Linked DNA regions of Lonchura striata. The protein of the gene in region 3 interacts with the protein of the main gene of each other region in a biochemical or structural test. Links are inferred from orthologs where the notes say so. Each region holds a gene or a part of one and is shown on either strand. Other genes may lie near its edges.

Region 1 (7,843 bases), on a different chromosome or scaffold from region 3:
TCATCTGTGTGATTTGGCTCTATACGGCCCCACCATCCAGTTACCGAAACCATGAACTGGAGGATGAGATCATATTTATCACCTGCCATGAAGGCTCCCTGATGGCCCTCGGCTTCCTCATTGGCTACACCTGCCTACTGGCAGCCATCTGTTTCTTCTTCGCCTTCAAGTCTCGAAAGCTGCCTGAGAATTTTAACGAGGCCAAGTTCATCACCTTCAGCATGCTGATATTCTTCATCGTGTGGATCTCCTTCATCCCTGCTTACGCCAGCACGTACGGCAAGTTCGTGTCTGCTGTGGAAGTGATTGCAATACTGGCTGCCAGCTTTGGGCTTCTGGCCTGCATCTTCTTCAACAAAGTCTACATCATCCTCTTCAAGCCCTCCCGCAACACAATCGAGGAGGTGCGCTGCAGCACAGCTGCCCACGCTTTCAAAGTGGCTGCCAGGGCCACACTGAGACGGAGCAACGTGTCCCGCAAGCGCTCCAACAGCCTGGGAGGCTCCACCGGCTCCACCCCTTCCTCCTCCATCAGCAGCAAGAGCAACCACGAGGACCCTTTTCCTCTACCAGCCTGCGCCGAGCGGCAGCGCCAGCAGCAGCGCGGGTGCAAGCAGAAAGTCAGCTTTGGGAGTGGAACGGTCACCCTGTCGCTGAGCTTCGAGGAGCCACAGAAGAACGCCATGGCCAGCAGGAACGCCAAGCGCCGGAACTCGCTGGAGGCCCAGAACAGTGACGACAGCCTGATGCGGCACCGGGCCCTGCTTCCCCTGCAGATCAATGAGCCCCTCGGGGCTGAGCCTGGCTTCCAGGCAGCTTCCAGCCCAGAGACCAGCTCACAGGAGTCGGTGGCAGGAGACAACAAAGAAGAGGGACCAAACCCTGAGGCAGAGCCTTCCCTGCCGTCGGTTAACTCCCGAAATTTTATAGGCGCCGGAGGTGGCTCTGTCACAGAGAATACGGTACATTCCTAACGAAAGAAGATTGCGAAAAGTACACCAGGCCCGAGAGGAACTTGCTCACCTCTTGCTTCTGAACGGGAAAGGTAACAAAGACACACTGCTGTGATACAGCCCCACCACACCTTAAAGTTAGCGTCGGCAGGGTAGCACATGTGCCTCCAGAGGAAGGACTGTGTCTGGGGAGCCTTGGACTGAATTTGCATTTGCTTTATTGAAACCAGGACATCTCAGAAGGACAAGTGAAGATCGCCTTGGGTGGGGCTTAAGCAGAAGTCTGCATGCTGCCTCGCCTCCTTAAGCTTTTCCTGCCAGACTGCAACTCAGCTGACTATGGGAGGCACTAGGCAATTCCACTATACCCTGCTTTTACATTTATGTATAATATTCCTCTTTCCCACTATGTATGATATTCCCTCTTTATCCAGTATATGTGATCTGTAACCATGTGCGTCAGGACTCTCAGCTCTACAAAAGCAAGGTACACGGTTTCACTTCAGGAAAGCACAATCATGGGGAAAATAAAAAAGCCCCCAACATCCTGCATGCTGTGTACAGCCAAGGGTGTGAACATGTAAAGTATTTAATGTGACAGAGCGCCCTGCTATTTATATTTAGTAATGTCCCAGTCTCTCCTTTCAGCCCAACAGGAAATACTGGACAATACTCTCCGTAGACTCCATTGCACTAGACCAAGCTACTTAGGTTCCTACTGGTTTCCTCCAACTGGAATAGCTTTACCTCCAGCCTGCCTGCTTTGGTGGAGGGGGAGAACAGCTTGTAAAGCCCTCCCAGAGAACGCTGCAAAAGCACAATGAGATGTATCCCTGATTATGTCGCTAGTAGTTGTGTGCTTAACCAAGTGTTGCTGCTGTACTATCCCACAAGGCATACATGGCTAACCCTTTCACACCATAGTCAGTGTTGTGCTTTGCTGTATTAATCTGCCTCACACCTACACAGAACATTGCGACAGTCCTGGCGGTACTGGTGGGCCTGACACAGCAAATGAAACAAGGGGAAATGGAGGAGTTAGGGATGGAGGAGGTAATGGGATCACCAGAGCAGGTGAATATCTGAAGTGTTCATGATGGTAGATGACTGGGTGAGAAAGACATTCAGGCCTAGGTTCTTAGACACACATAAGTGACAAATAGATGAACTGAATACAGTTTTGCTCCTAAAGGCCACCTACTAGGTTATTTCTCAATTTGAAGAGAGGTGGACGTATCACAAGAATGGTGGGCTGTACCTAACGCAAAACACTAAGGATGTCAGCAGAGAGCATAGCAGAACTTGATTACTCTTGTCCTACTCTTCCTAAAGCAGACATAAGTGCGCCTGGTTTTTCAAGGCATGCCTCGTTCTTTTTGATTTGTGCTGGAAAAGTTGAAGAGAGTCATTTGCAGAGAGATTTGTTGCAGCCTGATGAGAGAAGAAACATCCCTGGACAGCCTGGAAGGGAGGGCTAGGGTTACATTGCAGAATTTAATTCCTTCTTCCCAGATTCCCCATGGAAGATCAAGCATCTGTCAGGAAGATGTCAGTACCCTCCCTCATTGAGCATGAAGGTAGTCTAGACCTCTTCTAGAAAGGTAGATGGGCCTGCAGCTCAGTGTGAGAAGAGACAAAAGGACTGTGTTCAAATGCATTGGGGGAAACACCACAACTCTCTTGTTATTGTTTTTGCTTGGTTGTTCTTCTGCCAGGGCAGGCAAATAAAACTTACAGGTGAGATTACTGTATAAAAACTTTGTTTTGCCACCTCCACTTGTTGACAAGGAAGAGAAGTTTTGACTAACAGGAGCAAAGTGGAAGTCCAGAATCCGAAGAAGCAGGCTATTCAGACCAGTTGTTATAACCCTTTTGTTGATCTGTTACATCCCCCTTGGACTGGGCTCAAATTTTAACTACACCACATAAGGACCAACTCAACTATAATTGCAAGGCTTGCAAATCACAATATTTGATTAAAAATCTGACTCAGATGATTGAGGTGGGAGGGGGAGGGAAGTGAGTTTGAAAACACAAATCTTTCCAGCCCAAATTTTGGAAACTACATTTTGCCCCTGGACCCAGACAAGAGATGCTTACTGCTTCTGAAACCTAGGTCCCTTCCCCAGGCTGCTGACTGTGGCAGTGGGCTCAGTTTAGGGTACGGAATTGAGCTCCAGGGGCTCCTGAATCTAACTGCACAAGCAGGGATGAGCACTAGATGGCAGAGAGGTCTAAAAAAGGCATTTTGGTTATGGCCTACACTTCCAAAAATTCCAATAGCCAAGTAGTTTTAGTGCTAGTGAATCATTTCTACTGGAGCAAACCCAGCTCAACAACCCTTGAAGTGAAGCTGACAGCACTGAAACATGTAAGAGTTCAATGAATGAAATTAAAATAATACCATTTACTTGTGCAAACCAAAGACTGTGTACAAACACAGGCAATGTAAGAAACAGAAAGTCACCATCAGCTGCCTTGTCTGGAGAGCAATATTCACTAGCTGTGTATACTAGCTATGCATTTGGGTGCTTTTCATTCCTTGGGTGTTTTTAATTATTTACATTTACTTAAAAGGAATTTATACCCTGGCACACAATGAGTCTCCAAGAGCTGCAATCATTTTTTAGCATGGCCAACTGCACTGTATTTGCTGGGGAAGCCCCTTTCACCCTCCGTGCTCTCATACATGGAGTCCTAAGCCTGCAGCTCCAATGCTGCATGAGAGCTGCTGCTGCAGCTGATAGCAGCGCACACACGCTGGACACAAGGGAAGTTCAGTAAAAAAGGACCCCTTTGGGAAGGTGCTTTGTAACCAAATCCCTTTTCCCATGCAAGGAGAGGTGGATATGTTCTCATCCTGTGAGGTCCAGGAGAGGAGAAGGCTTGCTCCGGACAGCACTCATGAAGTCATGCTGGGGAACATTCTTCTGTTGAAAGCCTGAGCACCTCCACTGACATTTCCTACCAGAAGATGCCCACATGAATGCCTCATCCCACCCACCATGGCTCAAAAATCCACCAGAAAGTTTGCCTCAGTGTGAGGTTTCCTGAACTGTCCAGTGCGAAACAACAACAGTGTATCAGGTCTCTGGTGGGATTTCCACTGCAAAACTTGGGAACCACCTCAGTGAAGAGCCCAACCCTTCATTCCCAGTCTCCTGACAAGCCTGGCAGAACTCTGCCTACTGAAAGCCCCAGCAGAGGCTTTATTTATAGACTATACCAGAGGAAAGAAAACCTTCCCCATTATATTTCATTATATTTCACCATGTCCTCCTCATCAATCCGTGAGCTCTGTTCAGTTTGTAATACCTGCTATTGTTAAATTTAGGTTTATATTGACCAAATTTACCAAGGGGTGCTGCCAAGTGGGAGGAGGAAGGTAGGTGTTTGTTGTTGGTTTTGCAAGTCTGGATGTTTAAATTGTGAGGAAATTTAGGTAAAGACCTGAATGTTCAAACTAAAATCTCCCCAGGGATGTCCCAGAGGTTGGGTAATTCACCACCGCCTTCAGCTTGCTGGCTGGGGGGCGGCAAAATCAGCGTGGGAGAGGGAATGATGAACGTGGTGAGCGAGGGAGTCGGGAGACGGCCGCTTCCAGGCGGCGGAGGGAGCGGGGCGCTGCGGGGAAAGGCGGCGCGGGGAGGAACCGCAGCGGCTGAGGGCGGCGGCCCTGTCCCCTCCGGGCTGGCACGGAGGCGCCGCTCGCTGAGCAGCCCTTCCGTGCGGGGCGCCGAATAAATCCTGCCGGCAGCGAGCGTCGCCTCAGGCTGGTTTTGTCTTCGATCGGTCCCGCTGGGCCGCGCTGACCGCAGCCCGGCTGGGCGGAGCCGGGCCCGGCCGCTCCCGCCCGCGGGCTGCAGCCCGGCCCGGCACCGCCCGGCACGGCCGAGGGGCGGCCCCGGGCGGAGCGGAGCGCCGCTGCTGCCGCTGTGCCGCCGCTGCCATGTTGTGCGGGGGTGCCTCGGCGGCCCGGCCCGCCACCGAGGAGACGCAGCGGATCGCGGAGCAGGTGAGCGGCCGGGGCGCGGCCCGGGAGCGTCCCGCAGGCGGGGAAGGCCCGTGCGGGCCTGTCCGGGGCCCAGCGTGGGCTCGGCCATTGCTCCGCGGCTGAGCGCCGGGACGCCGCCCCCGGTGTAGAGCGGGGCAGGAACGGGCCGTGCGCGGAGCAGCCGGCGGCTCCCGGAGCTCCTTCCCTGCGGCCCGGCTGGCTCCGCGGGGCCGTGGGCAGCGCCGGGGAAACCCGGCAGAGCCACTGCCTTCAGCGAGCGAGCTCCTGTGCTGCTGACAGAATCCGACCCTGTGCATGCCTTTGGGCTTTCGTTCTGTGCCTGGGAAAGGGGGGATTGTTTGTTGTGTTTATTTTTGAGGGGGTGAAACGTGGAATAAGCAAGAAAGCTTCTTTGCTGCGTCTGCTTTTCCCCAACACAGAATTCGGCTCCAAATCCTGATACTACTTAAAGTACCTGAGGTTACTGCTCGTGTTATTGGAGCAAATGCTTTTACTCTAAAAACGCCATCGTGCAACTAAGTTCCTTCAAACCACACGTTCTTCTTTTTGTCACAGAAACTCAAGTTCCTTCTGCTTTTTGCCTTTGTCGACTAAGATGTGGTAAGCTAGAGAGCAACAGTTAAGAATGCGCTCCAGCTTCTGACACTTTGTCATTGCCTGAGCCTGTTCCCCAGGCAGGAGGAGTTCCCAAACACATACATAGCACCCAGAGGCACAGCAGCTACTGAAATGAACATTTGCCTTGTACAGTCTGAGGATTCTGTGTTTTAGGAAAAGGGAGAGATGTGCGTCTCCTAAGCACCAGCCTGAGTTTGCAGTAATAAGCACATAATTGAGAATTGCTGAGAGTTGCAATTATTGCTTTGACCTGAAAAGGCTTACATGTCACGTTAAAGGTAATGCAGATATGCACTTAACATGGGCTTAAAACTAGGTTTGAAATCCTGACTTTTTGTTCTGTAGCACACTGCAGTGGTTTGATAATCCAAAAACAAAACCCTGTTGGATTCAGAAGTGAGCAGAATTAACAAAAAAACCCTCATTTAAATCACGTAAATACTTTTAAAGTTTATCCAGCTTGTTTTGGCTGCCAGTTTAAATTACTTCCTTTAATGAAATACAGGTGGGAAAACTCACACTTGAAACTTGCCCATGCACTCAGATTCTCATCTGGACACTGCTGGAGAAAACATTAGTTTTGTTAAATCAATGTAGCCTTCTCAAATAATTTTGTTTGCTTAAAAGTCAGGTCTTTTTGGAGATTTATTAGAGTCTGCCAGTTTGCTTGCCATAAACATATTCCCCGTTCCTGCTTTTCCAGTTCTTGCCTTCATTTTACAGTTTCATAAGCATCCTTGTGATGGCCAAATGTTGTTCAGTTTTGTGACCCACAGCGGGTGTAGTGTCACACAGGGCAGGAAGGCTTCCTTTGGCAGTGTCTGGCTTAGGAATCCCATAGGAACAGCCTCCTCACAGCAAGGATTTCCAGCCAGGCCTGTTCAGCTTTGGCTCCTCACTGGTAATTGTGGCAGAGCTTATCCAGGGTGATTGTGAACCATCTGCTTTTTATTTAACTGCTCTGGCAGTGCAGGGCAAATAGGCCATGCAGGGCAGTGGAGAGTCTTCAGGGCATGATCATTTCCAGCCCTGTGACTGAATCATGGATTGTTTGGGTGGGAAGGGACTGCACCTCCTGCATGAGCACAGGGTCAGCATCCTCAGGCTGCTCAGAACTTTGTCCTGTCAGTCTTGAAAACTTCCAAGGATGGACTCCTGCTGTAGTGCAGTCCTCAGGGGAAAGGTTTCTCATGATATCCAGCCTGAACCTCCAGTTTCAGTTTATGACCACTGTGTCTCATTCTTGTGCCCTGTGGAAAATTTCATCCCTGTAAAGACCCTGGCTTCTTGTAGGTACTGGAAAGTTTTCTTCAAAGCCTTCTCTTCCCTGGGCTGAGTAAGCTCATTTTCTTCCTCTCCTCACAGCACAAGTGCTCCAGCCATCCTGGTGTGCTCGTGGAGTGCTCCTGGTGACCCTTCACTGGGCTCACTACAGTTCATTGGTGTCTGGCTTGTACTGGGGGCCCAGAACTGGGTGCAGGATTCCACATTTTCTGACAAAGGCCGAGTAAAGGGTAATAATCACTCCCCTGTCTTCTGGCTAGGCTCCTGCTGATGCAGCCCAGTATGCCATTAACTTTGTACCACTAGGACACAGTGCTGGCTCCTGTACTCCAGGATTCCCAAATCCAGACTGAGATCAAGAACCAGGTCTTTGGGAGAGTATTTCTGTCTGGGATCTCCCTCTGCACACTGAGGCAGGATGCTGGTTTGTCACATGCTGTGGTGACTCACAAACACCCTGACAAGCTTGCAGCTGCAGGACTCTGAGCTGTCTGTAGCCAGGGTCCAGTGTTCAGCTTCCTGGTGGAAACAAAAAATGTGCTGAGCTGGAGTGATTGAGTGACCTCAGAAACTAATGCTGCCCAGTGCCTAGGATTGCTAAAGGAGCACAGGACAGGATAGGGTCAGTGGGAGACCTATGTCTGCCCTGCTGCTTAAAATTTGTAAAAGTGTGATGAAAACTGAACACTTGCTCCAACCTCTGACTCGGGAGAAGGGGAGGAGGCAGGAGTGAATCATGGTGTTTCTTAGAATGCAGCTTGGATTCCCGTATGGCAAAGAACAAACAGGAAAGTGTTCAAACATCATTATCTTGCTTGTGACATACTGATCATAATCTGGAGGAAGTGTAGAGGTATGGCCTCTGAGAGGAGATAAAAAGCATGGTCACAGCTCTCAGGGACAGGATGGTCACTGAAAAGGCACCAGAGTTCTGGGAGTTGGAGAGGTGGGAGAACACACCCCATTGCAGGAA
Region 2 (7,244 bases), on a different chromosome or scaffold from region 3:
ATTTAGGAATAGAGCATGGGTAATTAGGATCTACTGCCAGGCTTGTTTAGTGAGTCTGCCTTCACTGTGCCCTTGCGGAGCTGTGTGTGCCTTGAGCACTGGCTGACTGGAAGGGACAGGCTCCCAGGGTGACTATGCATTGTGTCCTTTGGTTTGCACCATCAGAGGAGGTGTGCACCTGGTGCTGGGGTTAGGAGCTGGAAAGTTGTGTTGGTAGTAAATACTGAAGGCTGCAGTTTGACAATAACCCTTTTATCTCTTATTTTCTGCAGTTGAAATTGATGCAGTCGGAGCTCAATGTTGAAGAAGTGGTAAACGACAGAAGCTGGAAGGTACTCAGTCATTTAATAGTGATGATGTCCTGTCCCAACAGACATCGCAACAGATGTCCTGCACTGGAGGTGTGGGACTGGTGCCTTGTGAAGCAGATTAACTGGAAATAGATGAAGGCACTGCTAGGGGAAATGCTTCAAGTCAGTAATTTTCCCAGTTCTGTAAGCAGAGATCAAAGCTCTTCAGTTGCACTGCCAAGGAAGGACTGTGAATTATTCCCTGTGTCCCTTTCTCCCCCTTGCCAGTGGCTGAGCACTTGTAGGCTTTTCTGTGGTGACTTCTCTGAAGAGCTTTTCAGGGCCTCTAACAATGTCTGAGAGAAGAGTCTTTCACATTTGCCTGTATCTGGTGCTGATCACAACTCTGAGCAGAGCCCAGGGGAGGGTGAGGCTGTAGAAGCTGAACCTTTTCCTGATGGAGTTTCTTCGGGCCTGAACAGACACTCCGTGGTGCAGAGGGCAGCCTTGCCGTTGCTCTCCTGTGTCAGCAGAGGGTGCAGATCACCATCTGGATGATGGCCCTGAAGTCTATCCGGTGATTTTAGCACTGAGCTTAAGTTCTGAGGTGGCTGTATTGCGTCACTGCAGCATTTCACATCTGGCATCCTTTGCTGGTTTGATGTAGCTTCTCAGAGCTTTCAGTACTGCAGAGAGAACCTCTTTCCCTCTCTAAATGCAAAAAGGATTTTTGCAAATAGCCACTACTAGCTGCACCTTCCTTTTTAATCCCTACTTCATGATTTTAGTCTCCTAGATTACACCAGTGTAAAACCAATACAGCTTTGTGTCTTGGGTGTTCATCAGTAACCTCAGTGCAGGCTGATGAAATGAGCATTTACACAGTTTTCTGCATATGCATTGTCATCAGTACACCTCTGTAGTACTGTCCCAAAAAAGCTAAGCATGCACTTCAGTGTAGTTTTAAACCCACTCAGATCTGACTAAGCGATGCCACTGCCTTAACAACAACATGCTGCAGGTCACCAGGGGCAAATATTTTACAGTGACTCTGCTACAGGGGAACAGCCCCCACCCTAATCTTCCTTCTGAAGCACCAAATTTAGTAATGATTCTGGAGGCTTCTTGTAGCTGCATTAAGCTTTTACTGGTGGCAGAACTGTCTAATTTTTTCCTAAAGATGGAGAGTTTATAAACAGTGAGGTATGCATGGTGTAGGGGTACTTTAGGCTGCTGGTATATTCCTCAGCCAATGTTCAGAGTGGGGCTTGAAGAGATAAATATTTCTGAATTTTATCTCCAGTTCTGTTACACTGTGCTCTGAATATACACATAAATTTCTCCTTTAGCTGCTTGTTAAAATGTCAGTTAGAACCAGTCATGGTTGCAGACTGAATGCAATTTGTTACATGGATATGATTATTGGTGTGCAGGCTGGTGTTTCACTTTTGTGGACTTCTGGTTGGGAAGTACACTTGTGTATGTCCATTAATCCTAAACAACTGAAAACTAATGGGAAAAATCTGATTAGGAAACAGATGTTTAAACACTAGAGGCTGTAGCAATAGTGGCATACAGAATGCTCCTTTTGAGAAATGCATGTGGAATTTGGATCATACCATACCAGGAATAGAGTTTCAAACAAGACACTTGCAGTAGTCTCTATCCAGCACCTCTAGATTGGAGATTGGAGTTTATTGTTGGAGTGGTTTATGCAAATATGTAAAAGCCAGCAAAATCAAACTTTTGCATAGTTACATGCATTTTAATGTTTCTCAGCCATTGATTTTCCTGAAAAATGTCTGATAAATGAGACTAGCACTTTACAAGTAGACCAATGGAGTTAAATGGCCTTAGTAACACTAAGTAACACTAAGATCTGTGAGGCAATGATCCTAAAAGTAGGAGGCAGTGTTAGTAAGAGTGCAGTGTTGGTCTTCCTGCCATAGGTTGTGGAGTTACTGTTGAAGATACTTTGAAAGTTAGTGTGATAGCAAGCAAGCTGGTGTGTTCTTTGATGTTAGAGACCCTTGCAGTGCTTTAGAGAGCATTTCCAGCACCCTTTTAGACATTATTCCATTCAAATGTCATTAACAGACAATGGACAAAAAACGGTGTGATTTGTTCTTGAGTAAAATGTTTCTGAATTGGACTTCATGCTGTTGCTCTTAATTTCTACAGTTTCTTCCTATCACTGATCTCAAATCTTTACCTCACCTGAACTTTTCCAGAGGTGTCCATTCCATGTGGTAACATAATGGCTGCACGTTACTGTGTGTGAAAGAAACTATATCACAGCTTTTGCTTTCTGCAGTATGAATCAGTTTGTAATACATGTCTATTTCTTTAAATAAATTAAATTTGAAAGGTAGTTGAAAATTGCTCCAAAATTGTTGAGAAGTAATGCTGAAACTAATGTGTGCTCCAGGCTTCACTTTTGCTGAAGTTGCCGTAGGTTCTGAACTGTGAATAAGATCTGCTCTAGAAGATTTTAGGAAGATACAGCTTGAAACTGTATATTTATATAAAGTGTTGGATAACTTCCCCAAAATTACAAGATCACTCACTTTGCACATAAAGCCATTGGGAGAGTTCATGAAACTTCATATCCTGATGATCACAGGCACTTGGGTCTGCCACATCTCTGGACAGCTTGGCAAAATATGCTCTTGTGGGAATGCTGGCGGGACAACCAACAAACAACCTGCCAGAGCCTCAGCTTGGTGTCAGGTGGTGCTTGTGTCGCTTTCAGGACTTGTGCTGGACAAATTTGGATAAAAACTGATAAATCTAAATGGCTTATGAAGAGCACTTGCAACCTTGGTGGGAGGCTGTGTGGTTTGCTTTGGATTCAGGCTGCCTTTCTTTAAATAGTCACGTTTTTTGGCCCTCCTTAGGGTAGGATGGCAGCAGTTGAAGCTAAATATACACAATTCTCAGCGTCCAGTTCTGGAGGCTAAATTTTACCCAGAGAAGATGCCAGAGGTGAGTGAGGCAGGGGTGCTGTGCCCTTTGCACGGAGTGCTGGCAGCATTGGCACAGGCAGGCAGGTCACTGGAAGTGTGCATGTGGCTTTCAGGAGCCCTTGCCCCTCTTCTTGGCTGTCATGCCAATGTAAAATGTGCCTGCTCAGGAAAGACAGGAATTCAGCACCCAAGTTTGAATGCCAGAGTGAACCTAATAGAACACAACCATTCAGGAGCCTTCCCATGATTATTTCCCTCTCTTTTAAAAACAAAAAGGCATCAGCATTTTTGATGGTAACAGCCTGCCAGGATTAAGAGTCTGCATTTTCTGAGGGAGAACACTTAGTGCTGTGGAGTCTCCCAACATCAGGCTGCAGACTTTGGATTTACTAAAGCCAGGAGTCAAGGTGAATGGAGATGGATGTCTTGGTAAGTGCCATTTATTGATACCTCAGAGCTGGGCAGCTTGAGATGGGTGCTACATGAAGAAGTAGTCTGTGAAGTTCTGCTCATTTCCTGGATGGGGTTGATTCACTTTTGCTCTTCTGTTTTGGTGTCTCAGGTATTTAATGAGCGGTGCCGAATTCACTACAAGCCTCCGAAGAGTCAATGATGATGTGGGGTATTTTCCATCAAGGTGGTCCATAACTGTGAGAGCAAAACTGGAAAGAGACCTTGGGTGAGCTGAATTGGGACCCTCCAGAACCAGTAGAACCCAGTCTTGTTTTGTTTTGGACCTACTTAGATGAATTCTCAACTTGAAATGATTCTCCTGTAATTAAGAGAAAACAACTCATCTTTTGTACAAAATATGTGAACAAATGAGTTTTATAGTATTAAAACAATTTTCAATCGGAATGCAAAACTGGCATCTTTCTTGAACTTCCACAGCTTCAGTGATCCCAGAGGGGAAGAAAGAGTAAAACCTATCCTGAGCAGGGAGGAGAAGGCTCTCCCTGAGCTGGTGCCTACTAAAATATCAGTGAACATACTCTTTTTGTGGAAATAATCTGCTGAAGTCTGAAAGGAAGTAAAAATTGCAGACTGATCAACAGATGTATTAGATTCAGCATTGCTGAAAGTAAGACGTGACCAGCCTTGTTCTGAACTGCTCAGCATGAGCAGCAGTGGCTCAGAGCTGTGTATAGGCACAGGTTTGCCATTGCTCCTGCAATGCTGACAGGCAGCATCTGTTGCTTGCTGCCCTTTGGTCTGTGTTTGCAAGTTCTGGAGTTTTCCATTGTACAGGGGAAGTGGTGTATATTAAAACCACGTAACGTTGGAGCTGAAGATGTGTCTCATTTGGGAATGAGACTGCCAGGGACCCTTTTTTGTCCCTCTCTCTGAATATTTAAGAGTAGTTCTAAGGGTGAATTGTGTTTGAGCTGAGGAAACAGCTGTGCATACTTGATCCTGCTGATCCTGGCCGTGGTGTTGTGTTTAGAAAGCTTGAATGCAGCACCCCTGCAGTAACACAGCATTTAAAGGCAGATAAGTAGGAGGAAAGCTGAATTGTTGCAATTACACCTGTATATTTTACTTTTTATTTTGTATTTATCTCAGATAGGCTGACAGTGAAGTGACAAGGTCTGCGTGGTTGCCAGCTGATACGATCTTAAGAACCACTGAACTTAAACAGATCCCTAAAAATACAGGCCCTGTCTTGCAAATACTTTGGAATTCAGCAACAGCAATGAAATTACTGGATATACTCTCACATCCCTAAAGCTTTGCATATATAGGGAGTGGGAAATAAATGAAGCAATGTACCTGTGTTACTGAGAGCTGGCAAAGATCTGTGCAGCAGCATCTGTTTTATAGTTGCAGTTAAGACTCAAACTGCTTGGAAGCCTTTTATTTTTAGGCATCAGGGTCATTTTATCTCACCTTTTTTTGAGAATGAAGTAGAAATATATTTTAAATCTTTGAGGATGTAAATCCTAATGTTCAAACATCATTTTTCCCCCTCTTTTTTTCTTGAAGTACTGCAACTTCTTTATCCAGAACTTTGCGTTGGAGCACTCATTCTTGAAGATTTCTCCTTGTTTTTCTGCAACTCTGAAAGCAGAAAATGTGTTTATTCTTCAGTTGTTAAATTCTTATAATTGTTTGTCATCAAAGTGTAAATCAAATACTGCTCATCACTCTGGGCTGAATTGGCACTAAAGAAATTTCAACAGGAGACGATGATCAATTAATGAGATGTATAGAACACTAAGTTTTGGTTTCAAAGCTGGTACTTCATTATTTATTAGACACTCTACAAGGATAGGTGTCTAAAATATTTGTTCTCTCCAGGCCTTGGATCAACTGCAAGGACAAATTCTCCTTTTTAGCCAGTTGTACAATAGAAACTTCTATGAGTGTGTGTAGACTTGGGTCAATAGTCTTGAAATAATAATTTTTTATTTCTGTATAAACTAGAGACTGTAATGAGAATTAATCATTGTCTTCCTTTATCCATCCAGATGTTTGCTCAGCTGTTGTGGAAAGCTTCTTCACTTAAGCAGATGCTGTGATAAATTACCTGTGAAATGGATGTGATACACAGTTTTTTTTTTTTTTTTCTTTTTTTTGCATTAGTTATGAGGAAAACTATGTTAAAAAAATCCCAAAACCCACAACCCCAAAAACTCAGCCCAACACAGAATTATTTTCAGTTTGAATATAAGGCCAAGCTAGTAGTCCTATACAAACCTGAGTATGGAAAACTGCTACCATGAGAAGACTCCTGAATCCCCAGCATCCCTTCTTGGGGTGATTGCATACAGAGGGTTGCAGTAAGACATTGAATTGCTTTATACAGTTTGCTCTGAGTGCAGGGGGTGTCTCTTAACAGTAGTCCACAGCAAATCTGGTGGCTCAGAGGCAGCTTAACGTTGCTGTTGAACTTGATGGAACATGAAGGTGAGTAAATAGAAGTGCATGCCACGCTTTGGGTGCGGGCTGGAGGACACGGCTCTGCTGGTTCCTGAGAGCCTCAGAGCTGCGTGTGGAGCAGGATGTTCTGGAATGTGTGCAAACAGCATCGGTGTGAGCTGTGTGCCACACTGAACACAGGCCGGTAAATTCTGTGTCTAGGGACCCCTGAGGATTCCAGGATGGTGTTTAGTCAGGGATTGAACCTTGCCTCAACATTACCATTGAGGTAGTTACAAAATTACTGTTTGCTGTCATATTGGGGTCAAATAGTGGACACTACAAACAGCAGAATTTCTTCCTTTCTCTGGTTTTAAGTTCTATTTCTGCAAGTAAAGACATTTGAGCATAGCTGATGGCCGTGTCCAGAGTCCTGTGGATGCCTTGCCTCTCCCACTAGGGCTTTCCCATTGCTTGCAGGTGGTGAACAGAGGTGGGCAGATCCCACATGCTTGGAAAGTCCTCTCAAGCTTGTGCACCTTTCTTTCTGTGAAATAGAAAGATGTGTTGTTCTTTTTCTAGCATTCAGTGCTGTTGTCTTCTGCAGCCTGTAGGCATGAAAGACTGATGAAACAGGTAATTTCTTTATAGAATATTTTTAACAGTAGATTTCAGTTGTCTTGAAGCAGACTGAGAGGAAGAGGCTCAGCATAGGCTGGGCCATGATAACTGTGCTGCTGAAGGTCAGGTTTCTGTTGATCCTTTTTCATGTACAATGTCAGAAATCTTTCAAAATTGGGATGGGTAGCAGGAGTGGAAGCCTTTTTTGCAGACCAGCACATTGAAAATCAAGGCTGTTCCTGTGATGATGAGAGCAGATCTTCACCTGGTACATGGAGGGCTGCTTTCCTCTAGAAGCTCTTAAAGACATTCAGATCATGTCATGTGCAGCCACAATTACATGTCACTGTGAAACCAGAAGACTGACCTTACTGACTTGGCTTTCACAATCATTTCTACAGAGCTGACTTCATTCCTGCTTTAAAAATTACTTGTAAATACATAACCCTGGGGTTTGGATTTGGTGGAGGTTAATTTTTTTTGCTTTTTTTTGTACTGGTGTTTTTAT
Region 3 (7,244 bases):
GGGAAGGAATTTGGAATATTGGGAAAGAATTGTTGCCTGTGAGGGTGGTGAGGCACTAGAACAGGGTGCCCCAAGAAATGGGGGATGCCTCATCCCAAAAAACATTCAGCGTCAGGTTGGACAGGGCTCTGAGCAACCTGACATACAGCTAAAATACACAGTTAAAATGTCCCTGCCCATGGCAAAGAGGTTGGAATGATATGCCCTTTTAAACACTCCTTCCACCCCACATCTTTCTATTATTCTACGAGGTCTCCTATGGCTGCAGAGTTTGGGGTGGTGAGAGCTGACACCCAAGATCAGGTATGTCACGATCTGTCTGGAAAAGGAAGGGGAAATCCTCACCCCCGTGGGATTTCTTCCTCCCTAACCCCCCCTCTCCCAGGCTTTATCCTGTGTTCAGCGGGTCTATAAATAGGACACAGGCACGGGACTGGCAGGACGGATTCCCACTGACCGTGGCTCATGTGCAGCCCAACCACAACAAGCCCAGAGACCCGACAGTGACTAAAAGCTGCTGGTTTCCTCCCTCACCCCCTGTCCCAGCTGATCCGAGCAGCAAAGCTTCCCCTGGCAGTGTTATCACCCTGGTGCTTCCCCCAGCACCGCTATCTCCTCCTCACACCTAAAACCTCAGGGCCGTTTGAACCCCAGAGCAGCCCCAAAACCAAAATTGCATCGCAGCTGCCGCACCCCAACATCTGCTCCCCGCTTCGTGCACAGCAAACAGGGCAGAGGAGTTTCCCCAGGAACCCCAGCAGATCCTTTCCCTCTGCACCCCACAACATCTCCAGAGGTGCCTCAGCTTCAGGATAACCCTGGCTAAGGCTGATCCACAGCTCACATCCCACCACCCTGGAAACAACACAAGGCTCTTGGGCTTCTCAGGACACAGCAGCTTCACCCTGCAGAATTCCCCAGGTGGCAGGAGATGTCTGGGGCGGGCAAAGAGCCCCTTGGGTTGCTCCACCTTCCCCTGGACTGAGAGCAGGGAATACTTTGAGATCCAAAGCATCTGCTAATGTCATTTCTTGAAGGATGAAGAAGAAATAAGCAAGAAATGAACACCCACCAGCACACCTGCCCCTGGGTGGGACAGGACACTCACGATTCAGCCAGCTGGCCGCTCAGAAAGAGGAAATTTGGGCCAGCTGAGCACAGCCCCTCTCCCAGGCAGAGAGGAGGAGGCAGCGGAGGTTCTGCAGGAGCTGCTGCAGCCTGCGAGGGAGGAGAGCACCCGCAGGGCTGTGGCTGTGCTGGTGCTGCAGCATCCACCCACAGCCCTCTGAGCTGCCGCAGCGGAGGAGGAGACACCACCCAAGAGCCATCTCCATCCCTCCTGAGCAGGTCGGGGAGCCAGGGCAGCTCCCCGCCTGTTTTCTGGAGGATGGAGCTCCTGACAGTCGAACCCTGGCATCCCAACCTCAGCAGGACCCCACATCACCCTCCCAAGCAGCCAAGCAGCGAATCCCTTCACTCTTGGGTGTCCTTCCCCAAAACAAAGCCCACAAGTCCCATTTAACTTCATTTAAGAAAAAGCAACAACCCAACCCCCAAACCGGCTATTCCGAGCCCAGCTCACATGACTCAGCCGAGGCAGCTCAGACCACAGATAAGACACAGCCCTGCAGCATCTCCCAGCTCTGCACTGTCTGGGCCAACCCCCTGCAGGCACAGACAGAGGCGTCCACACCTCCTGCAAGGCTCTGAGGAAGGTAAAAGCTGTCCCACCCTCCCTTCCACAACACCCCCCAGCCCTCCAGGGGTGCTCAGCACAGCCCAAATCATGTGTCCTGCTCAGCACCAGCCTTTGTCCTTTGTTCTCTCTGCCAGGGCTTGTGACTCCAAGCCACAACAAAGCGAACCCAGCGAGGTTCAGCTCCAGCTCCCGATCCAGCTCAGCCTGCTGTGTCACCAGGTGAGCTTGGCAGCACCAAACCCGTGCTCTGCTGACTTCATCACAGCTCTCGCTGCCTTACCGCAGCTTAAATTATTTTTTCATCGAGAAAAAAACAATATCAGGCGCTCCTCCCTACGCTTATTCCCTCCTAGCAAAGCCGGATCACTAACACAGGTCAGGTAACAGAATCCTAGAGATCTGAGTTGGAAGAGATCCTAAAGGTGATCTAATTTCAACCCTACTAGACCTGGCTGCTCTGTATCTGACAAAGTCATTCCCTCCTGAGACAAGCTGCAGCACTCACCTCCGCAGCTTCCGTGCACAGAAAGCACAAGATTCTTCCCAAATGAAGCTGTACTGATTTTTAATTCCCTCTTCTTACAGACCAGCCCATAAACCAGAGTCTTGCACAAACCCCCACACACCCCGTGCTACGGAAATCCCTTCCTTCGAGGGAAATGCCAGGAGGAAGCGATCTTTGCTACCTCACGCCCGCAGAGCATCCCCGAGAGTGGGATACGGGGATGGGAGATTTATTCCAGGCCAGAGGGACGCAGGGCAGCTTCTCCAGCGCCATTCCCAAGCCGTGGTCCCGCTCCGAACCCAGGCTGGGCTGTGCATCACGGGATGCTCCCAGGGTGCCAAAGCGACCTCGGCGTCAGCTGACGGGCAGAGCTGCGCGGTTTTCCTGTCTCGATCACAAAAACAAGGCTTCCTCTCCCCTCCCGTGACCTTTCTTGAAGGTTTGATGCGTTTCGAGGGTTCATTTTCCGGGCAACAATCCGCGCCGCAGCGCATCTCCCTCCCTCACCCCGCATCCCGCATCCCGCACTAGCCCAAAAAAATCCCCCAAAACGCCGCTGGAAAAAGCGGGAGACGCTGCTGCTGTTGTCCCTGCGGGTGCTCCGTGGCTCTCACGGAGCCGTGCAAGGGGGTGCCCCATTGCCGTGTGCCCTGGCCCTAAGCATCCCCTCCCTTACCGCTTCTTACGCGCGTCCGCGGCTCTCCCCGGGACCCACCGGGACCCACCGGCGCTCACGGCCCCGCTCGGCAGCCACGGCCAGGGCAGCTCCCGGAGGCTGAGTCATGCCGGGCTGCCCGCCCCCGGCGTGACAGCATCCTGCCTGCTGCCCGCCCCCAGAGCCCGCCTCCCTCCCTCCTTCCATCCTTCCAGCCAGCCGTCCCTGCTCCCGGCTCCATCCCTGCTCCTCCCTGCTTCCCTCCTTCCTCCCTCCTTCCTCCATCCCTGCTCGTCCCTGCTTCCCTCCTTCCTCCATCCCTGCTCCTCCCTGCTTCCCTCCTTCCTCCATCCCTGCTCCCGGCTCCATCCCTGCTCCTCCCTGCTTCCCTCCTTCCTCCATCCCTGCTCCTCACTGCTTCCCTCCTTCCTCCATCCCTGCTCCCGGCTCCATCCCTGCTCCTCACTGCTTCCTTCTTTCCTCCTGTCTGCTTCCCTTCTGCCTCCATCCCTGCTCCTCACTGCTTCCCTTCTTCCTCCATCCCTGCTCCCGGCTCCATCCCTGCTCCTCCCTGCTTCCCTCCTTCCTCCATCCCTGCTCCTCCCTGCTTCCCTCCTTCCTCCATCCCTGCTCCCGGCTCCATCCCTGCTCCTCACTGCTTCCTTCTTTCCTCCTGCCTGCTTCCCTTCTGCCTCCATCCCTGTCCCTGCAGGCTTCCATCAATCCTGCCTGCACCCCTGCTCTGCTTCCATCCCTCCGTCCCACCTGCTTTTCATACCTCCATCCTTCCTGCATCCTTCCTTCCTCAATTCCACCTCCAGCCCACCTGTATCCCTCCTCCAGCCTGTCTCTGACCTTCCTCGATCCCAAAGATGTTCTGCCCCTGCCATCCCGTCCTGCATCTTCCCTCCTGCCTTTTTCCCTTTGTGCTGCACTCCATCCCATTTCCTTTTCACCTTCCAAGCTGCCTGATTCCTCCTCAATCCCACCTGCATCCCACCTTTATCCTGGTTTAATCCCATCCATATCCTTCCTGCTTTCTTCCTCCATCCCATCTCCATCCCATCTAGTTTTCCTCCAGCAACCTGTCTGGATTTTTCCTGTATCCCACCCTTTGCTATCCTGTCTCCATCCTGCCTCTATACCTTTTCCTTCCCATTTCTCTCCTCCAGCTGGCCTCTCTCCCATCTACTTTTCCTCCTCCAGCCTGCCTGTATCCTTCCTAAACCCTTCTGCATCCCACACGCATCCCTTTTCAACTCCACCTGCATCACACAGGTTGCCCAGAGAAGCTGTGGCTGCCCCTGGATCCCTGGAAGTGTCCAAGGCCAGGTTGGACAGGGCTTGGAGCAGCCTGGGATAGTGGAAGATGTCCCTGCCCATGGCAGGGGTGGAATGGGATGAGCTTTAAGGTCCCTTCCCCCCCAAACCATTCTGGGGTTCTGTGATCCTCCTGCTTCCCTCTTCCAGCCTGCCTCTCTCCCATCTAATTTTCCTACTCCAACCTCCTTGCACCCCACCACTATCCCGTCTCCATGCTGTCCTGTCAGCATCTCTTGAAGTTTTCATCTGGAAATACAGAAATATTTCACTGTGTTACTGTGCTGACTGACACTTTTTCCCTCATTTTGGCCAATCTTCAGGAGTATGAACAACAGAAAAATAATCTCAGGAACCAGTTTCAAGCCCTGTACTAAACCACAATTACACTAAACCTTCTCTTTAATGAGAAAAACTATATTTTTTTATTATTTTATCACCCTTCTCTGTGAGGAGGAGGTAAAAACTATACTCCCCACCATTCTCAGAAATGAAAAGACCATGTGGCCTGGATCAAAAAAATAATTAATCAGTGATCAAAAAACAGTGAGCATATTCCTTTTTCCCCCTGTTTCCATTTATATCAATCAATTTTTTGTCACACTCACATTTTAAAGGTTGATTTTGGTTTGTGAAGATTTCCTAGTGAAGTGATGAGAAAAATCAGAATAGCATTTAATACACTTGACTGTACAACCCAGCATTTAGGCAGTAAAATGGGAGATGTATTTGATGTGTTTAAATGTTTTTATTCTTCGATGCTCTGTGTGCAATGGCCCTTGGACCATTGCATGCCTTTGCATGTAATATTTAACCACCCCTTCACTATGTTTTTATTTGTGCCTTAACAATTAAAATATTTTTTTAAAAAATCAGTTGTAATTTGCCTGACTTCCCTCTGACTCCACAGGATTTCTTCTCTCTCCTTTGAAGGTTGATTTCAGTTTTCCACATTGTCTGCAAGGTTTTATTGGCATAAAATACAGGAGAAATAACCTGGATTTTGTCCTGCCCTTTGTACAATCTGGCTCCAAAAGCCTCAGTGCCTCCAGTTGTGTGGAGCTGCAGTCAGGACATCACTGAACTCTGATTTATTCCAGTAACTCGGTCAGTTCCCTCTGAATTCCCCACACCTCCTTATTTCCAGCTAGCTTTTCACCCAGAAGTCACAAAATAGTGATTTTAAACCTGTGCAGTCCCATAAAACACCTTTTATTTTGCCTTGCTCTGAGTCACCAGGGAGCCCATCCTTCAGGCTCTGCTGGTGTCCTCTGTGGGCTGAGGGACCAGCCACCTGTTTTCCCTACAAAGATTTGGTGTCTTTTTCAAGAAATGAAAGTATGAACTAAAATTTTGCACAGAGTGCTGACTTTCTGCCCTTTTTGAGGAAGTGTCAAAGTTGCTTCCCCTATTGCTGTTAGTCTGGACTGAGAACATGTCAGTTTTTGAGATAATATGATCATTTTTGAGATAAAATGCTCCAGAGGCTGGAGCTCTCAAGCCTGGCTGGGAGAGCTGGGGGTGCTCACCTGGAGAAGAGAAGGATCCAGGGAGAGCTCAGAGCCCCTTCCAGTGCCTAAAGGGGCTCCAGGAGAGCTGGAGAGGGACTTGGGACAAGGGATGGAGGGACTGGACAAGGGGCAATGGGTATGATGGGATATTGGGAAGGAATTGTTCCCTGTGAGGGTGGTGAGGCCTTGGCACAGGGTGCCCAGAGAAGCTGTGGCTTCCCTGGAAGTGTCCAAGGCCAGGTTGGATGGGGCTTGGAGAAACCTGGGATAGTGGAAGGTGTCCCTGGCAATGGCAGGGGGTGGAATGGGATGAACTTTTAAGGTCATTCCGACCCAAACCATTCTGTGGTTCAATTATAATTTGTTTTTATATATGATGCTGAATGCAGCCAGGAAAGTTTCCCCATTTGAGACTTCCCAGAGAGTTCAAAAATCCCTTGTGTGCCCAAACCAGGCATGAAACAAATCCCCTTTTTATCTCATCGTATTTTTATAGCATATCAGAAAAAAAAAAAAGAATGGTGTTTGCTGAGGCTTTGGCCTTTGGAACAAAATCCAACACTACAGGAACAAGATAAGGAAATGGGTCAGGAGGCCTTGGGCAATCTTCTCTTATCACTTGTTAAATCAGTGTTGATTGAATCATGGTGAGCCTGCTTCAGCACTGAACAACAAATAGCTCTTAAGGAGGCTGCTGAAGGACCAACACCTATAGGTTTTAGAAAAAAATTTCTGTGTATATTCATTCCCTACCATAATATTTTTGTGGTCCTAATTAATGCAGGGGTGGCTTTTTTCATCTTCAGGGTTTAAAACCATCATTGCTTACAAAAAGAGCATGAAATGCAGGTTTATTTAATAACCAAATAGATCTGCTTTGCTTGGGGTAGTGGTGAATTGTGCTCCTCCCTGAGCTCAAAGCCTGTCTGGGCTGCTGGATCTCCTTTGGGGAATATCCACCCAGATTTTTCCTGATTCATCATTTTCTGATGCTTTTAAACTGTAATTTTACTGCTCAAGCAGCACTACAATATTTGCTTCTGAAGTTTTTTTAATTCCTGGCTCTTTGTCCCTCTTTGAACATCATCCCAGGAAGTGTCCAAGGCCAGGTTGGATAGGGCTTGCAGCAACTTGGGATAGTGGGAGCTGTCCCTGGCCATGGCAGGGGGTTGAAAGGAGACAAGCTTTAAAGTTCCTTCCAACCCAAGTATTTCTGTGACTCCAAGATTTCTGTGGCATGATTTGGCAGCTGACTTGCTCTCCCTGGCAGCAGCAGAACATCTGTGAGGCCTTGATGGGAATAATGATGGTTATTACACGGCTGCATCAGCTGCCAAGGTAAAATACTCACCCAGGGCAACTAAAACAGGATTTTATAAAGCCATAACGCTGCCTAAGAAATCCTTGCTGGATGGGTTGGGCCCTGATGTTATCCTCACCTCTCCCATGGGAGCTGGGTAATCCTGAGCTCCAATCCTCACCCCCCAAGCATTCAGTGTCTGCCAGAGTCACAGCTGGAGCACGTGGCTTTAAAAAACTCACTGGAATATGCCT

The links.
Region 1: the proteins of CTSB (region 3) and cystatin-B form a complex in vitro, tested with the Homo sapiens proteins (2 studies listed by BioGRID). The link is inferred for Lonchura striata from reciprocal best matches to the Homo sapiens genes CTSB and CSTB.
Region 2: the proteins of CTSB (region 3) and cystatin-A-like form a complex in vitro, tested with the Homo sapiens proteins (3 studies listed by BioGRID and IntAct, with this or other methods). The link is inferred for Lonchura striata from reciprocal best matches to the Homo sapiens genes CTSB and CSTA.

Annotation. Positions count from the first base shown.
Region 1 is NC_134604.1:29,232,286-29,240,128, forward strand, and holds the start of cystatin-B, read left to right. Parts: upstream 1-4,832; 5' UTR 4,833-4,902; coding exon 4,903-4,968; intron 4,969-7,843. Other genes in the region: CASR (extracellular calcium-sensing receptor), read left to right, coding at 1-974. UniProt on the Homo sapiens protein: This is an intracellular thiol proteinase inhibitor. Tightly binding reversible inhibitor of cathepsins L, H and B.
Region 2 is NC_134604.1:29,252,320-29,259,563, reverse strand, and holds the start of cystatin-A-like, read left to right. Parts: upstream 1-4,233; 5' UTR 4,234-7,244. UniProt on the Homo sapiens protein: This is an intracellular thiol proteinase inhibitor. Has an important role in desmosome-mediated cell-cell adhesion in the lower levels of the epidermis.
Region 3 is NC_134605.1:110,603,070-110,610,313, reverse strand, and holds the start of CTSB (cathepsin B), read right to left. Parts: upstream 3,014-7,244; 5' UTR 2,881-3,013; intron 2,681-2,880; exon of another isoform or gene 2,205-2,680; intron 1,661-2,204; exon of another isoform or gene 1,583-1,660; intron 1-1,582. UniProt on the Homo sapiens protein: Thiol protease which is believed to participate in intracellular degradation and turnover of proteins. Cleaves matrix extracellular phosphoglycoprotein MEPE. Involved in the solubilization of cross-linked TG/thyroglobulin in the thyroid follicle lumen.